4 linked regions of the Caenorhabditis elegans genome follow. The protein of the gene in region 1 purifies or fractionates together with the protein of each later gene. This does not show direct contact. Each region holds a gene or a part of one and is shown on either strand. Other genes may lie near its edges. The genes, in order: clik-3, cyn-11, usp-3 and ndx-6.

The links.
Region 2: the proteins of clik-3 (region 1) and cyn-11 fractionate together in Caenorhabditis elegans (co-fractionation; one large-scale study listed by BioGRID). This does not show direct contact.
Region 3: the proteins of clik-3 (region 1) and usp-3 fractionate together in Caenorhabditis elegans (co-fractionation; one large-scale study listed by BioGRID). This does not show direct contact.
Region 4: the proteins of clik-3 (region 1) and ndx-6 fractionate together in Caenorhabditis elegans (co-fractionation; one large-scale study listed by BioGRID). This does not show direct contact.

The regions. Positions count from the first base shown.
Region 1 is NC_003279.8:3,418,084-3,424,763, forward strand, and holds clik-3 (CaLponIn-liKe proteins), read left to right. Parts: upstream 1-1,516; 5' UTR 1,517-1,595; coding exon 1,596-1,626; intron 1,627-2,282; coding exon 2,283-2,351; intron 2,352-3,075; coding exon 3,076-3,158; intron 3,159-4,200; coding exon 4,201-4,350; intron 4,351-5,125; coding exon 5,126-5,272; intron 5,273-5,796; coding exon 5,797-5,925; 3' UTR 5,926-6,128; downstream 6,129-6,680.
Region 2 is NC_003280.10:8,714,576-8,717,808, forward strand, and holds cyn-11 (Peptidyl-prolyl cis-trans isomerase 11), read right to left. Parts: upstream 1,707-3,233; 5' UTR 1,706-1,706; coding exon 1,604-1,705; intron 1,550-1,603; coding exon 1,391-1,549; intron 1,346-1,390; coding exon 1,165-1,345; exon of another isoform or gene 1,143-1,164; coding exon of another isoform or gene 1,046-1,142; intron 997-1,045; coding exon of another isoform or gene 842-996; exon of another isoform or gene 822-841; intron 728-821; coding exon 618-727; 3' UTR 556-617; downstream 1-555. Other genes in the region: Ras-related protein Rab-21, read right to left, coding at 5-172, 296-433; T01B7.13 (uncharacterized protein), read left to right, coding at 842-996, 1,046-1,142; T01B7.5 (Sas10 C-terminal domain-containing protein), read left to right, coding at 2,270-2,292, 2,345-2,550, 2,595-2,818, 2,862-2,948. UniProt on the Caenorhabditis elegans protein: PPIases accelerate the folding of proteins. It catalyzes the cis-trans isomerization of proline imidic peptide bonds in oligopeptides.
Region 3 is NC_003279.8:13,948,580-13,953,464, forward strand, and holds the start of usp-3 (Ubiquitin carboxyl-terminal hydrolase), read right to left. Parts: upstream 3,052-4,885; 5' UTR 3,050-3,051; coding exon 2,919-3,049; intron 2,840-2,918; coding exon 2,525-2,839; intron 1,211-2,524; coding exon 914-1,210; intron 1-913. Other genes in the region: rps-6 (Small ribosomal subunit protein eS6), read left to right, coding at 3,599-3,736, 3,909-4,269, 4,325-4,566.
Region 4 is NC_003280.10:5,388,283-5,391,645, forward strand, and holds ndx-6 (Putative nudix hydrolase 6), read right to left. Parts: upstream 1,600-3,363; 5' UTR 1,556-1,599; coding exon 1,522-1,555; intron 1,474-1,521; coding exon 1,263-1,473; intron 1,217-1,262; coding exon 893-1,216; intron 849-892; coding exon 635-848; 3' UTR 547-634; downstream 1-546. Other genes in the region: rsp-4 (putative splicing factor, arginine/serine-rich 4), read right to left, coding at 145-282, 339-544; brap-2 (BRCA1-associated protein homolog 2), read right to left, coding at 2,155-2,232, 2,278-2,379, 2,430-2,858. UniProt on the Caenorhabditis elegans protein: Probably mediates the hydrolysis of some nucleoside diphosphate derivatives.

The sequences.
Region 1 (6,680 bases):
TGTCAGTTGGTCCGTTTCCCCCATCCGACACTTTTTTCTGTTATTGTCGTCATTTCAAAGGACCTCGGAAAAACAGATGAAAAGACAAAACACAGCCAACTTCCTGTCGGGAGGGGGGAAGCTCTTGATCTCCGATTAGCTATTCTCAAAGTTTGCGAGTTTTTAACATGAGACAGACACCACACAAAGACAGGCTACAAAAGTTACCGAAAAATGGGGGAAATCAAGTCATGGATGATGTCATCGTATTGGGAAAAGAAGCGAAAATTTTTGAAAATTTGTAGTTAGAATTAAAGCGATTTTTAAAGCCGGCAAGTCGGCAAACCGGAAATTTGCCGGAATTGAAACTTTCCGGCAAATCGGCAAACCGGCAAATTGTCGGAATTGAAATTTTTCCGCAAATTGGCGAATTGGCAAACCGGCAATATGCCGGAATTGAAAAATTCCGGCAAAACGGCAAACCGACAAACTGCTGGAATTGAAAATTTCCGGCAAATCGGCAAACCGGCAATTTACCGGAATTGAACATTTCCAGCAAATCGAAAATCCGGCAAATTGGCAAACCGGCAAACTGCAAACTGAAAATGGTAGCTAATATCGAAATATTTATATGGTACAATATTTTTTAAAGAAAACTGCCAAGTTCATTCTAAAATTACCGATTATCATAATAAAACTGTTCGACAAATTTTAGAAATTCCTTTATTTCGGGTCTTTTGCTGTTCGGCAAATCGGCAAATTGCCGGTTTGTCGATTTGCCGGAAACTTTCATTTTCGGCAAATTGACGGTTTGCCTATTTGTCAAAAATGTTCAATTCCGACAGTTTTGCCGGTTTGCCGATTCGCTCGAAATTTTGAATTCCGGCAATTCGCCGGTTTGCCGATTTGCCGGAAATTTTCAATTCTTGCAAATCGCCGGTTTGCCGATTTGCCGAAAATTTTGAATTCCGGCAATTCGCCGATTTGCCAAAAATTTCAATTTCCGACAATTTGCCAATTTTCCGATTTGCCGGCAAAAATCGTTCGCCGCCACCCCTGCTCAATATTTTGGCTAGTTGCAAAGGTATCGAAAAGTTGTCAGCTAACAAACTGTAGAAAAAAGTATTTCGATCATTTTTGTAGTGAACCACATTCTGATAAAACTATACCTCACAGAGATATAAACTGCCAAAATGCACCGGAAGTAAAATAATATGTTTTTTGGGCAAAGGACATCTGGATCACATTCCGCCGATTTTCACATCATCTGTTTCATATTTTCAAAAAAAAGGTTCAAGAGTCTGTGTGACTCAAAATATGTATTATTTCGCATTTCAAAGAGTGAATCAGCACGTCTCTACCCTCCTCACTTTCTCCACTCGCTGTACCATTTTTTTGTGTCTACCACGATTGAAACAAGTGCTTGTGGGTGTATTCTCAAACCAACTTCGATCGGGGCGTCCCACGCCCCTTCGAGACTCTACACAGCATCCCGGAGACGCAGATCGTCTCAGCAAGCCGAACGCGGGCTCCGCCCACTTTCTTGCGGAGCACTACCCCTTTTTGCTGGCAGTTAGTAACCCCCATCTCGGAAGCACACACAATCTATTCGAATAATGACTTCCCCAGTACCACCAACTCATCAAGGTGAGTCATGTTTTTATTTTTAAATTTTAATCTCATTTTCTTAATTAGTCTTGCATCTGACTTTGGTAGCTCATATCTCGGTTAATTTACAAAATATTGAAAATTTTGTTACTATCAGATCATAGAATAAGGAATGATATATATTTCGCCAGTTGAAAACTTTTTGATAAAATCAGAAACTACCGAGATATATATGCGTAATCAAAGTTAGAGTTCCAACTTCGATGCACCGTGTTCTTTTATCAACATTTTAGCAGCAAATATCTCGGCTTATTTTGAAATGTTCTCAACTACAAAATTGTAGAAAAAAACCTGCAACATTTTTTAAAATTTGAAAGTTATTGATAAAATCCAAAACTACTGAGATCTAGGCTGTCAAAGTTGTTCCACGCCGTCGATGCACCATGTACCACTATCAACTTTGGTAGCTAATATCTCGGCTTATTTTGAAGTTATTAAAAATGGTCTCAAATACAAAACTATAGAAAAGAGTCTGCAAACATTTAAAAAAAAATTAAAATTTATTGAAAAAGATCGAAAACTATCAACTTAATATCTCGGCCAATCTGAAGTAAAAAAAAAACGTAAAAACTACTAAACTATAAAAAAGTAATAATGAGTAATTCTAAATTCAAATAATAATTTAAAATTTTCAGAAGCTGGCCTCAAAATTGCCGCCGTCGAGGTGCCAAGCAATGAACAATTGGAGAGGAGAACTCGTGATGGTATGTTTTATTGTTTTTTATACTTTAAAAGGCATGTTTAGCATATGGATAGTTTTACTACATCCCTCATACTTTTTTAATTTTTATTTATTTAAATTTTAAAAAAAGTTCACCTACAAAAATCTAGAGATAAATCCAACTAGACCTATCCAATTTGCATGTTTGTTATATTTTCGGCAAATACTATATAATTTTTTGTCTAACCAAACATGGTAATATAAAACCCATTATTATTAAAAATTCTGCTTGGAAAAATCTAGGGTAAACAATGATAGAAAATGCATCCTTATGAAAAAAGGTAATAAAAATATAATTTTTTCACGGCTTATATCTTACTTGTCGTTTTTTTTATTTTAAAAATTATCAACTAACAAAATATTTTTGATTTCATTTTCTTTCGTTTGTAGTTGATTTGTTTTTGATATCTAGAAAATGAACCGAGTTATAATTTTTCAAAGTGAAGTTGTGGAGTATAGGAAAAACGGAATTTTTTTATTAGCAGAGCAGAGCCTAGAAGTAGCTTCAGAGCAAAATGGAAAGGCCTGAACAAAAACCGGACGCTTAAAATTTCCAGCAAATGGCAGCCAAATTTTGACGATTTTTAAACATTAGATTTTGCTGAAATATTAATTTGGAGCGGATTTTTAAATATTAATTCTACAAATAATCTAGGAAGTTCCCATTTTTCTACCAATTTCTCCACGCAACCCCCCAACTTTTGCAGGAAAATGGACACTTCGTCAACTCCGTCAGACTGATGCAATGGTGCCACTTCAATCCGGAACTAACCAGTTTGACAGTCAACGAGTGAGTTTTGAGGGGAAGGCTATATCTATCCTTCAATCAAAAAAAAACAGTAAACTTAGAGACTCAAGAGAATAAGAGTCTTATCTCTGTCAATATATCCAAACAAACCGCAGCATTTATTGGGGGTCGGGAAAGGGAGAGTGTATTTCGGGGAGCCGTGGGAAGGTTCAATAGTTGAACTTTTAGAAGGTTAATTTGTTGTGGAAATTTTGAAAAAAAATTGGGAAAAAATGGGGGTAAAAGGGATTTTTTGAGAAAACCGAAGAACGAAAATTTTCGATTTTTGGAAAAATTGAAAAATTGAAAATGTTTAGTACATATTTTCGCAAAATTGTATGAAAAACATTTTTCATTTTCAATTTTTTTTTCGGTGAAATCTAATGTCATAAGATTTATGCGTGTTTTTAAAAATTTTTTCGATCTCCATAAATTTTGAAAACCGTATTATATAATGGTGTGTGACGTCACACTTTTCAAATATAAATTTCCCGCGATTTCTAGTAGTACAGTAAAGCTACAGTAACCCTACAGTAATCCTACAGTACCTCTATATGTTTTGAATTTCCCGCCAACATTTTTTCTGGAAATTTAGATTTCTTGTCAAAATTTTTTTTGGGGAAAATTCAAATACTCTCAGACAATATTTTGGCGGGAGTTTAAAATATATTATCTTCTAAAATTTTGAACTTTTCGCCAATCCCTAGATTAAGCTTTTGTTGTTACTGTTAAAAAAGCTATGTAATTCTGTGCCCAAAAATGTTACGTTTTTTACAAGTATGCTTTGCCGTGAGCCCACTGTAGTTTTGTCTTTAAACACACTTAACTTTAACAGAGCATATCTCGGTTGTCTTTGATGTTATCAAAAAAGTGTTAACTGACAAAATACAGGCCAAACTGCCTTCTACAATTTTGTAATTAAAACTTTTTGACATCTTGACAACTGAAAAAGTTATAAGCTGTCAAAGTAGGCCCTAAATTGTAGCTTAACAAGTGTCCTTGTCTTATGTGTCCGTACATATATGTGTTTTGTTGTGAATTTCAGGGAAAAACTGGGTTTGGAATGCCACGTAACACACAAACCAAAGTCGATTTTGCCGATCATGACAAGCAATGGCTAATTGAGGAACAGAAGCAATATTCCGATGCGATTGTTCGACTTCAGTCAGGAACGAATCAATTTGAATCTCAAAAGGTTTGAATTTTGGAATTTTGGAACTTTCTAATTTTTTTTTGAATGTCGCATGTTGAACCTATATGTTTATTAAATTTGCTAATTCTAGAGCTTTCAAATTTCAAATTTTATTCAGAAAAAATGCGAAATAAACCCTTTTTAAAGCGGTATGGCTTAGGAAAAATTCGACCGCCAGGATTTTTTGAAATTTGAAAAAAAATGTTTGAGAAACAGCTTTTGGTAATAATGACCGAATTGTTCTTTTTTGTCGGCCACGCAGCTGTGCGTTGTGGCCTAGAAACCGAGAAAGCTAGGCCACAGGCCAAATAGCCTAGAAACACAGAAGAACCATAATGACGTGGCCTAGAAAATAAAAATTCGGCCATTGAGAGATTTTCGAGCAATTTTTTATGAAAATCAGTTTTATTAGAGTGACCGAGTTTTTTCACGACCCCATTGAAAATTACGTGACCTAGAAAACAAAAAACTCGGCTTGAGCCAAACAAAAGCCCTTCGCCGTGTTTGTTCATTTTTAGGCCACGTGGCAGAGACTCATGGACGTAAAAATGACTAAACTCGGCCATAGTGTTTTGAATTGAAAATCGTTCGTTTCTGAACTCATCTCGGTGGCCGAATTTTCTCTTCCACGGCCACATAGCAAATTTTTGAATTTTTTTAAAATTAGAAGCCATTAAATAGGATACTTTAAATATTTCCGCATCCACGTGTCACTTTACCTAACCCCCTTTTTCTCAATTTATGTGCGTGTTTGTGCCTGATTTGTGTCCATTTCCAGGGAAAAACCGGCTTCGGAATGCCACGAAACACGCAGACAAAAGTTGAATTCGCGGAGCACGGAGCCCGATGGGCTGTAGCTGACAACGCGGCTCACGACTCAATTGTCCGTCTTCAATCCGGAACGAATCAATATGAAAGTCAAAAGGTTCCGTTTTTTTTCTATGTTAATGAATGCATTGTCCCACGTCTTGTTCCCCACGTTTGGTCCCTGATTTTTAGAGGAAAAGTTTGGAAAAAAATGGAGAGAAGGTTCTTCACTTCTTATTAGATCCCTTGGGAAATGGTGAAATGTTGGATGGAATTCTGGGATGGGGTTCAATTTAGAGTTGCATTTGGTCTTGAAAGATCAGAGTTCGTAAAAGTTTGATAATTCTTTTGTAGTACTATATTATAAATCTGATAAAATTTGAAATGGATGATAAGGTTTTCTAGTCCAAAAGGTTAAGCAGCAGACCAGTTTGAATGCGTCAATAAATGAGTTGTTCAGTTATATAATCAGTGGTTGCCTGTCCCCCCATTCCCCTCTGATTCTCATGTTTACTTTCGGATTAGTAGTAGTAGTTTTCTCCCCACTGTGCACTTTTTCGCAACGTTTTTTTCGTTTCAAACAAACCAAAATGAAAGAAAAGAAAATTTTCGAAATTATATATATTTTTTGAAATTTTCCAGGGAATGACCGGTTTCGGAACACCACGTGACGTCAAGGGAAAGCATTTGAAGAGAATTTGGGAGCTCGAGTTCCCGGAGGAAGCCGCCGATTTTCAACAGCAACCAGTGAATGCTCAACCACAAAATTAAATTGTTTTATTCATAAAATTTCCCTTTTCTGCTTTTAAACAATTGTTTTCTCCGTTTTTTGTAGATTTTGCCACGCCCTGTCTCTAGTTCACTTTACTTGCAATATTCCATCAACCAGAAGGCAAGACCCTCCAAAATGTACTCACATCACTCGATATACAACTTCTTCTTGTTTCTTACGAGTAAATATTTTTGCAAAATAATTCACGCTTTTATCTACCTATAACTTCTATATTGAGGTGGGCAAACGATTTTTTTCTGGCAAATCGGCAAATTGGCAAATTGCGGGAGTTGAAAATTTCCGACAAACCGGCAACTTGCCGGAATTGAAAATTTTCTAAAAATCGGCAAACCGGCAACTTGCCGGAATTGAAAATTTTCGGCAAATCGACAATCCGGCAAATTGTCGGAATTGAAAATTTTCTAAAAATTGGCAAACTGGCAAATTGGCGGAATTGAAAATTTCCGGCAAATCAGCAAATCGGCAAATTGGCGGAATTGAAAATTTCCGGCAAATCGGCAAATCGGCAAATTGGCGGAATTGAAAATTTTCGGCAAGTAATTGCCGCCCACCCCTGTCCTGAAAAAATACTGGAAAAATGTAGTTCAAGACGAACTTATTTTCCAGATTTTTCCTGATTGGATAATATACCTTATTTTTTCCAGGTTTTTAGTAGAACTCTATGATAAACGAACTGTATGATAAATTTTCCAAGAAATAGTATTTTTCAAAACTTGTATTCTTCTGAGCATTT
Region 2 (3,233 bases), on another chromosome or scaffold:
ATACCTTTTCAAATGACTTTCTATCAGTGATATCGAAAACCAGTAGCACGCCATTGCTTCCTCGATAGTAGATTGGACCGAGTGCGTGGTATTTCTCCTGTCCAGCGGTATCCCAGATGTGTAGGTCAGCTTGGCAGTCTTCTACATTCACAGTTTTGTTTTGGAAGCTTGCCTGCAATATGAAGAACAATTGGAAAATATTTTATATGCATATCAAAATCTTGATAACTGAATGAAGAAAAACCCAGAAATATTTTTTTGGATTATCTATCGCAACCTTTTTCTAAATTATTACCTGAATCGTCGACAGGTGTTTGCAGCTGAATTTATTTTCAACGAATCGAAGCACAAGTGATGATTTACCAACACATCCTTCGCCGAGCAACACGATCTTGAATTTGAACGACTTCTGATCCACGTTGGTTTCGAGCATTTATTCTGAAAGTATTCGATTTTGAAGGTTTATTTTCTTTACTTCGCTTTTAAAACTGAACCAGATATACTAACAGTCACTTATACTGTCTTTTCATTTCATTTTTCAACCCATATAATCAGAAGTAATTAATAGTTTATTGTGAATATAACAAAACGAGATCAAAATAACAATACAGTGAAAATTAGAGTTGGCCACATTGAACAACAACAATCGGAAGTTTCGGCTTGTTATTGGCTCCAGTTGGAACATTTTCGATTTTCCGAACCGTCAGCATTCCATCGAGTACTCGTCCTGCAATAAACGATCGGTCAGAAATATCAAACATATCAATGGCGTCATTAACTAGCTTTATCTCGTATAAAAGGTGATAAGGATATAAGGAAATCTAGTTGTTTTAGCTAGACGATGACACGCATTCTCGTTCTAATTTTTTTCTTTTTAAAATGCGTTTCATTGCAAACATTACTTCCTTTATTGTATGCTAACGCTGGCATGTTCAACCCATATAATCAGTATAAAACAACAACTATGGCACCATCAATGTATCACCAACATTATCAGTGGGTATCATTAAAATTTGCGATTTTCTTTTTAAAACACTGCTTTCAGGGGATTGGGATGGAGAACTAATGACGTTGGAGACATTTATCACAATCACAATCCGTATTCTTCTTTCTTTGTACTACAGAAATCAACTTATCCGTGAATTTGAAATAAAAAAAAATTACCAAAAACTACATGTTTGTTGTCAAGGAAATCGGTTTTTGCGCAAGTGATAAAAAACTGACAACCATTTGTGTCAGAGCCAGCGTTAGCCATCGAAAGCATTCCTGGTCCTATGTGCTTCAGCTCGAAATTCTCGTCACGGAACTTTGAACCATAGATGCTCATCAAACCGGTTCCATCGCCCTGAAAAAATGATATAACTTTAAAATTTAAAATTGTTAAACTTACGTTGCAGAAGTCGCCACCCTGAATCATAAAGTCCTTGATCACACGATGAAATGTGCAGTTTTTGTATCCGTTTGGGACACCATCTTTTTTGTATTCTCCTGTACAGAACTGACGAAAGTTTTCAGCAGTTCTCGGTGTTACATCAGCAAATAACTCGATCTGAAAAATTATGAAATATATAGCAAATTAAAACTGGAATGGTCGTCAACTTACAACAATAGTTCCGATTGGTGCACCACCGGCGGTAACTTCTAGAAAAACGATTGGGTTATCCGGATGACGGAGCTGCTCGGCAAACTTGTCGTATTCAGTCATTCTGAAAAAGAAAACATATAAATGAGTTAGTTTTTAAAACCAGAAAAACGTTTTCTGTAAGTATTCGAAATAAGTATTTTCGAAATGTGTCAGGTTTTTCCGAGAATAATGGGATCAACTGAACTAATCGTTCATAAGTTTTATAACCAAGAAATACAAATTCGTCAATAAAATTCGACATATTCAAGAAAAAAGTGATATTCGTTCTATTCAAAACAAAAAAAGGTGAGCATTAAATGGGTGTATAGAACAATAATAAAGTGCGCGGGTAGTTTGCAATCAGAAACCCCGCCCACAAAGCCCTGCCGCTAATAATTTTCCCCCGTCTTTTCTCAAATTCAACTCGAAAATTCAATTTTTGAATAATTTATCTTGTAAAAGTTCGTTCTATTCATTTAAAAATTAATTTATCGAAGTTTATCACACGATTAAAGCATAATTAACTTTATTAGAGTTATTCATTGATTTGAAAATCAGAATTTGGTTTATTTTCGGTCGGTGCAATCCGTTTCTCTGTTGAAAATGCTATAAATTGCTAATTTTTGGATTTCAGATACTAGAACTATGTCATCAAGGAAGGGGAAAGCGTAAGTTGAATGTTTTTCACAATTTATAAATAATCATTAAATATATTTTCAGATCTGCTCATATCTCATACGAAGACGAAAATGATGATCTCATTGATGAAATCAATACTTTTCATAACAAAGACAGAAAAGTCGAAAAGGGTGCTATTCACAAAAGAAAAACATTCAATCGTCCAGAAGAGGTGTTAAACGTTGAAGCAGAAGCATCGGATAGCAGTGAAGACGATGGATCCGACTTTGATGATGACGATGTTAATGGTAGTTTTCTTTCTGAATTACCTGATTAACGTAATTTATTTAAGATATCACGGACAACAAATGGGGTAAAAAGAGGAAAGATTTCTATGGAACTGGATTCGTGGATAAAGATTGGGGCGGAATGCGTGAAGAAGAAATGGAAGATGCTCAACTCGAAGAGGAAGATGCGTTGACTCGTCAAAAACAAATCGACAAATCGACAGCTGCCATTGCTGATTTATTTGACGACGACGATGAAGATGAGGAAGAAAAAGAAGAAACTGTCGAGGTAAACGAATTGAAAGAATAATTAAAATAATGAAAAGTTTTAGGTGGAAACAGTTTTAGAATTCAATGAGGAGAATGCAAGGACAAAGAACAAAAAAATCGTGAAAACTCTGGAACAATTTGAAGCAAGAGTAAGTTCTAATTTTTTAAAATGTCTCTTCACTTTTTTCCCGGTATCAGTTGCAGCTTCTTCCTCTTGTGATAATTTCCTATTTCTTCCTAATGCCAATTCTCGAAAGTTTATTAAATTTTGAAGCTATCACTTGTGAACATCAAATGCTGATTCGTATCGTTTCCAAGGTTAATTTTTCGTGTTCTCTCTTTTTCAGTATCTTCCCGTTTTCACTTCATCTGTTCTCTTCATTCTTTCAACTAAACACCACCGATGGCTAGTAGATAAGCGGTCTCAAATCGCG
Region 3 (4,885 bases), about 11 Mb from region 1:
TTAGGTTGAAATTGTGTATAAAAATTGAATTTTTCAACAAAAATTGAAATTAAAATAGGATTTTTGTAACAAAACCTGCAGAAACGACATTTTTTAGGTGAAAAAGTTAAATTTTCCATGAAAATCGGTATTTGGATTAAAAATCGGCATTTTTCTGTGAAATCACACATTTTATATCATTTTTAGGGCAAAAATTCAAATTTTTAGTTGAAATTTACGCAATTTTCGCTATAAAAATACAATTTTCAGAAAAAATTGCCAAAAAAAAATGGATTTTTGAACCTCAAAAGGTGAATTTTACGCATTTTTAGCGTTAAAAACGTAAAATTTACGATTTTTATTGAAAAAATGAGGCATTTTCCATGAAAAATAGCCTTTCACTGCTAGAAAACTGCATTTTTCACGTGAAAATCACAATTTCGGCTAATTTTCGATGATTTTCCCGATTTTTTGGGTCAAAAATCGCGTTTTTCACCAATTTTTCACACTTTCCAGGTGAAAAACGTACGCTAATGCTTAAAAAAGAAAAATTTTTGACGTTAAAACAGGAAATTTTACGCATTTTTCGGGTTTTTTTTTTAAATTTTAAGACCGGAAAACGCACAATTCACGAGTTTTCCGTGGTTTTCTGCAGAATTTTGCAATTTTCAACTAAAAAACGCAAAATATAAACTAATTTTTGCGTTTTCCTAACAATTTTCACGGAAAAATCACAATTTCTGCTCATTTTCGATGAAATTCTCAATTTTTAGGGTCAAAAATCGCGTTTTTCACCAATTTTTCACTCTCAAGGGGCGGAAAACACCCGATTTTCGCGCATGAATTTCGCATTTTCAGGGTCAAAAATGGCCGATTTTCATGTATTTCGGCTCAAAAAAGCCAATTTTTCACACTTTCGAGGTGAAAAACGTACGCTAATGCTTGTAAAACGGCATTCATAAAGCACGTATTTCCAACATTTCGCATTCCACGTGGCCTATAGGCAATTTCAGATGATGACGTGGCACCGCCGGACCCCGATGACGTAGAATTTGTGGATGATAGTGTGACGTCATGAATTACGGCGGCTCCCTGCTGCTGCTGGAATGGTGGTGTATCGACGAACATTGGACTGACTTTTCCCTTTTTTCCACGTTTTTTCTTCGAATTTCGAGAAGCTGGAGCCACGTGGAGCTTTTGGGTGAATGTTGAGGCGACTGAGGTCACTGTTCTGAAAGAAAATTGAGGATTTTTGAGTGGAAAATCGGAATTTTTTGGCTTTTTAGGTGGAAAAATGGATATTTGATGTTTTTTGGGCTGAAAAATCGGAATTTTTGAATATTTTTAGGTGGAAAAGTGTGATTTTGCTCTAGAAAACGGAAGTTTTTATATGGAAAATTGGATTTTTTAATGTTTTTGTGCTGCTGAAAAATGGGAATTTTGGGGCTTTTTGGTTGAAAAACTGATTTTCTGAATTAAATTTGAAGATTTAACGCTGAAAAATCAACGTTTGGGAGCTTTTAAGTGGGAAATTGAGTTATTGTTACGTTTTTCTATTGAAAAACCGCGCATTTTTGAACATTTATAGTGGAAAAAATTGATTTTTCTACTGAAAATAGGAATTTTTGTGGATTTTTAGTGGGAAAAATGGATATTTGATGTTTTTTGGGCTGAAAAATCGGAATTTTTGAATATTTTTAGAAAAATGTGATTTTGCTCTAGAAAATGGAGGTTTTTCATTGAAAAATTAGTAAAAATATGAGGTTTTTGACGGAAAAATCGGATTTTTCGTGGGCTAAATGAATTTTTTGATGTTTTTTGTGCTGAAAAATCGGAAGTTTTGGGCTTTTTCATTGTGAAAACTGATTTTCTAAAATAAATTTAAAGTGTTAACGTTGAAAAATTCGGAATTTTTGGGCTGTTTAGGTGCAAAAACGGATTTTGAAGTTTTTTGTGCTGAAAGATCGGATTTTTTTGGCTTTTTAGGAGGAAAAATGGATTTTTGATGTTTTTTCCCCTGAAAAATCACAATTTAGGGGCTTTTTAGTGGGAAAAATGAATTTTATCGCAGAAATTGATGAGTTTCTGCCGAAAAATCGGAATTTTTCGGATTCTTAGGGCGAAATACGATTTTTTGATGTTTTTTCACCTGAAAATCGGAATTTTAGTGATTCTCGTGAGGAAAATAGGGTTCTGTTCAAGTTTTTGCGGAAAAAATGATTTCCCAATGGAAAATTAAAGTTTCTTCGATGAAAATTAGGATTTTCATTTTTTTTTTTAAGAAAAATAAATTTTTATGAGAAAACGAACGTTTTTGACTGAAAAATCAAAATTTTCAGAAATTCCAGAGAGAAAAATGGAATTTCTGAGGAAAATTGGCGTTTTTTTCACTGAAAATCGCAATTTATCGGACTTTTCATGGGAAATACGATTTTTACGAGAACTGTAACGTTTTTCAGTGGAAAATTCGATTTCTAGCAGGGTTTATCGATAAAATATCGGTTTTTAACCAATTTTTAGTCCATTTTCCTCGAAAAATACGCACTGAAAAGGCTGTGCCGGTATAGTCGGCCCGTCGCCTCCCTCCATAACGTCTTCCCGGTCGAAAAGGAGCTTCAGCGATTTTAGAACTCCATATAAAGATGGCTCAAAGTCCAGTGACACTTCATCATCACAGGAATAGCAGTAAAGCTCGAAAGAAATGCAATCAATGACGACTGGGTGGCTGGTTTCTTCAAAATGATGCAAAGCGTGGCCCGAGTCGTTTCTTCCGCACAGAATTCGTCCGCAAGTGAGGCACATCAGCGATTTATTGCAATTATCGCATTCGTCGCAGAAGGTTTTAATTATTTCCTGGTTTCTGGAAGAAAAACGAGTTTTTAAAGCTATTTTTAGCTTTTTTTAGCCATTTTCTAGCCAAATTTCTCAAAAAAACTCACTTCACCACCTTCCCACGATTCGAATTTCCCTCCAAGAACAAATTATTGTCCTCCATGTCCTGTTTCTTGCGGAACATCCCCTTGGGCACACGCTCCACACAATCTTCCGCCTTTATATGGGTGCAAAGCATCTGAAAAAATTCGAAAATCAGTCAATTTGAGTGTGAGAGCAAAGTTTTGGCACTTAAAACGCGGATAAAAAATCGATAATCAAGAAAAACAGCAAATTTTCGGCGGAAATCGAAGAAAAACCGAAAATCGAGTCGGAAAATCGGAAAAGTTTGGAAAAAAATAAAATCCATCGGACGAGATAGTGTGGGAAAGGTGGGGTGCAGCAGACGACGAGGCGGATGGGGGATGGGTCTCGCCACGAAGGGCGTGCGCCTTTAAACTGGAATTGTCGTTGGCCTAAAAAGTTTTCGCTCCTTTTTTCATTTTTCCCTCGAATTTTTGGGTGAATTTCTCATTTTTAGGCGAACTTTTCGGTTTTTTTTTCGAATTTTCAAAATTTTAAATGTTTTCCTGATAGTTTTCCTCCACATTTCGCAGGATATTTGCTTGGAAAATCAAATTTATTAGTTTTAGGCCCATGTTTTCGTTTTTCGCTTCAGTTTCTCCTTTTCTCACCCCGTTAACTCATTTCCAATGTTTTTCTTCTTGCAGGTAATAATATTTGAGCGATGAGACTTAACTTCGCCTACCCAGCCACCGGGCTCCAAAAGTCGTTCGAGGTCGATGAGGAGAAGAAGCTTCGCCTCTTCTTCGAGAAGCGCATGTCCCAGGAGGTCGCCATCGATGCTCTCGGTGACGAGTGGAAGGTTAGCGAGTCACCCAAAAACACAGAAACGAAGTGATGTTTCTGTGTCAAATCCTCATTGTTTCACGTGCTTTTTCTTCGCTGAAATGGCTGTGACTAGACATACATTGAGAGTCCCAGTTTTTGTTTTTGAACCGATTCTCGGCTCTTTCAAACGAGTTGCTTTTTTCCAGGGATATGTCGTCAGAATCGGAGGAGGAAACGACAAGCAGGGATTCCCAATGAAGCAAGGAATTCTCACCAACGGACGTGTTCGTCTTCTCTTGAAGAAGGGACAATCCTGCTACCGTGAGCGCAAGAACGGAGAGCGCAAGAGAAAGTCCGTCCGTGGATGCATCGTCGACGCCAACATGTCCGCTCTTTCCCTCGTCATCGTGAAGAAGGGAGATGGAGAGATCGAAGGACTCACCGACTCCGTTCTCCCACGCAAGCTCGGACCAAAGAGAGCCTCCAAGATCCGCAAGCTCTTCAACTTGACCAAGCACGACGATGTCACCAAATACGTCATCACCCACGACAAGACCTTCCCAGATGGTGAGTTTCTTCAATATTCTCTTTAAATTTAGTTTTTAACTGTCTAAATTTCCAGGAGTCACCAAGACCATCGCACCAAAGATCCAGCGTCTCATCACCCCAGCTCGTATCGCCAGAAAGAAGTACCTTCTCCGCCAGAAGCGCAACCAGAAGATCAAGATGCGCGATGACGCCGCTGCCTACCACAAGCTCCTCGCCAAGTACTCCAAGGAAGAGCACGACGCCAAGATCGCCCGCAGACGCTCTTCGGCTTCCCATCACTCCGAGTCCGAGGTCAAGAAGACCAGCAAGAAGTAAATACTGCTGCTCGTTATTGTTTCCTAATGAAATTGTTGTTAAACTTAAATCTTTTTTTTTTGTTGTTCACTCCATTCGTCTCACCAATTATATTTGCACCCATTTGTCGTTGTTAATTTTTTTGAATGCTTACTCCGAGTCCTGGCACGCCACTCAGGGTACTTGGTCGATCCGTTCTTCGCCTGCGGGGCGGATAGCAGGCTTCGCAGCTTTCAAAGCTTTTCGGTTCTTTGCTTGGCTGATAGTTGTATGACTCAACCGAAGGCGTCTCTCGTGTGACCTTTTTATAAAGAGTCGTTCCATCTAAACGGGAGTCGTC
Region 4 (3,363 bases), on another chromosome or scaffold:
CAACAGCAGCAAAAATTCAGCTCAGCTCAGCAACATCTGGCTCTGCTGCTGTTCTATAAATAAGTCAGGAAGACAAGGGTTCCATTAAGTCTCGCGCCTAATTTTTGAGCACAACTACAAGGGGAATCAACTGAGTATACTAACCTTCTACGTCCACCACCACCTCCACGGCCTCCTCTCTCATCCGATGGTCGATCATACTTTGCAAGAGTCACACGTAACTCGCGTCCATCAACCAACTTTCCGTCTGTGCGGTCCAATGCGTGCTCAGCATCACGACGTCTAAAATAATATTGATTTTCTGATGTTTTCTCTCCAATAGTTCCAATTTAACTTACTCATAAAATCTAACGAATCCGAATCCTTTCGATTGGCGAGAGTACTTGTCCCTTGGAATGTGAACATCTCCAATGTCTCCGTATCGCTCAAAAGTTCGACGCAAATCGTTGGGCGTTGTTTGGTACGACAAGTTGTCGATTTTCAGCGAAGTTAGACCATTGATATCCGGTGCGGCACGACGATCACCACCTCCTCCACGGCTCATTTCTGAAATGAAAATCATTTATGAATTGAATATAGCTAACAGAAACGCGAAAATAAGAGGAGAACATGAGAAAAGAGAGACATGTGGTAGTTAATGAGAATGAGATTCTTTTAGAAGATCAATAAAATGAGAATGAGAAGCGTAAAGTGGCTCATTTGAATTAACTGCAATCCAGCGTAAAGCTTTAGCATCATCTCCTGCTTGAAGAGCCACATTTTTCAGAAGGCCTTTTGAATCATGAAAATTGAAAACAACAGTCTCCATCCATGCGTTATCAGTGTTACGTGGGTCATCAACGTAACCTCTGTAAATGAAACATTGAGTGGGATAAAAGAGCTGTGAATGCACCTGTATAACTCTTTACCATTATTCCACAATTCATCAAGATTTTCAGAATCGACAATTCCATGCATTGCTTCTTCTGCGAATTCGCGCCGTAGAGTTTGTGAAACATGCTCTCCAGCATCCACCATTCCTCCAGGAATTGCCCACTCGCCATTGTCATGACGTTGAACTGCAACAAACTCCAAATCACCATTGTCGTTTGTTCTAGAAACGATCGGATCTGCTGCGTGGTTTGGACCCCAACGACCAAGCAAACCACGACCAGAAAGTCCCGTACGTCCAATAGGATTTAGTGGGCGAAGGGTGACAGGATCAAATGAGTACTGACTGGAAGGTTTCTTGATTGATTGAGTATATACACTCATAAACGCACCAAACATATGACACTCTATTGATTTTCCCATCGATCGCATTCCAAGACGGTTGGAACGTTTTCTCATCGATTTCTGGGTCTGCCCAAACAGCTCCATCAACTTTTGGATCGGTGTGAGCCGGAGGATTGTATCCTGACCATTCTTGGCTCCATTTGACAAGATTATCAGGCACATTTAGTCGGTGAATGTTACTACCAAGGTAAACCGTATCTAGAGGTTAAATTTGTATTTAATGTTAGATTAATACATTGTTTATACCGATATTTCTGCATTTTTGATGAACGAAACTCATTATCGGACGACACAAAAGATGATTCCAAATTGTCATAAATTGCCCAAAAATCGATAATCTTGGTTAGTGAGTGTAAAAATGCGGCAGAAAACTTTTGAATTAGAGAAATACGAAGAGTTTCGAGAAATTATGAGAGCAGTGATATTAAAAGTTGATGGAAATCTTGAAAAAAAGAGAAAATAATTTGTAAAAGATAAGTATCGAGAAAAATCGAAGGAAACAAGAATGATGGCCAGCGGAGACGTTTAAAACGAAGTGTGCGTTCTTAGTGAACACAAGAGTTGCGTCAGCACCGAAAATGTGTCAGCAAGGAAAGAGGAGGGAATTCGAAAAATAGTTTTTGACTCGTCGTTTAATAACGATTGAAAACATGGTACATAATATGAAACCAAAAGACACTCGAACGATATCATTTTATTCATAAGCGAATGCATTAAATAAACTACCGGCTGCATACATATATACCGCACAAAATTCGATGAGATACGCGAAAGAAAGCGAATAAATATTCAAGTGAGACTAACCATATATGAAAAGACTATTAAAGAAATGTTCAATATGCAAAAATTAAATAGGACATGGATCTCCTGAGATGCCAACTACTTTTTCTTCTTTCTGTTCAATTTTCTCGACGAGGAGGACGACGAATCGAGTTCAACTTGACTTTCAGTTATTTCCTGTAAATTAAACATTTTTATTGTGGCGAGCATTGGTTAACCAACCTCTTGAGTTATTTTTCCAGCATCCAACTGCTCTTTCAGCTTATTTTGAGTTTCAAAATGCATCAAAAGATCATTGACTTGTGACTGAAGATCTTCGATTTTCTGAAAAGAAAAGCTTTCAAGAGATCAAGGGAATCTATTTAGACGAATACCTTTTCATACTCGGTTCGAGCAGTTTTCTGACTTTCAATAAGCTTTTCCACTTGACCTTTCCACACTTGCTGATCTTTTCTCAACATTTGATTTATTTCACGTTCATCTTTCAACTCATTTGCAAGCTTATTCACTTTTTCATTTGTCTGCGTTGCTCGTTTCTCTGCCACTTTTCTCGCCGTCACAGTATCATCTAAATCTCCTTTTAATGATTTCAATTCAGTTGATCGTTCCGTCAGTTGATGCTCGAGATTCTCTACTTGAGCATAAGCAGTTTTCTCCATTTTTGACATCGTTTGCTCCATATCGTGACGTAGACCTTCAAAATATTTCCGTTGATCCTCAAGTTGACTGGTCAGGAGTAGAGTGTATTCGAGTTTGATTCCCTCAAGCTTGTCTCCACCCTTTTGGTTTTTGTCATCAAAGCTCTGCAATTTTCAACATTTTTAGGGAATTTGAGTGAAGACTAAACATTCTGGTCTATTTAGTCAGAATACTTGAAAACAAAATTTTAAATGAATTTATAAATTTTCTGTATAGAATGAAAAGGCCACAAAACAGTGCTGGACTTTTTTTTTGCTTTTTTTTCTGTTTTTCAAAGGTATTTTTTCACGAAAAAAAAAAAATTTTGCTTTATGATAGCAAAAATAAAGTAAAAAATCAAACACTTTGGATTTCAAACACTTTTAGAACATGATCATACTTATTATTCAACGATAAAGGGGAAAATGAATATATTACAGGATTTTAGCACTTATTCCTAGGCAGAACAAAAGTATTTGTGTGATAATTAATTTGAAACGCATTTACAGACGCATATATATATATATATATATTTGTTTTCAAACAAAAACCAATAGAATTCAATGAGAAAACCCGAAAAATTGCATCCAAAAAAATTAATTGATTCATTGCCCGAGAGGAGTACACGGC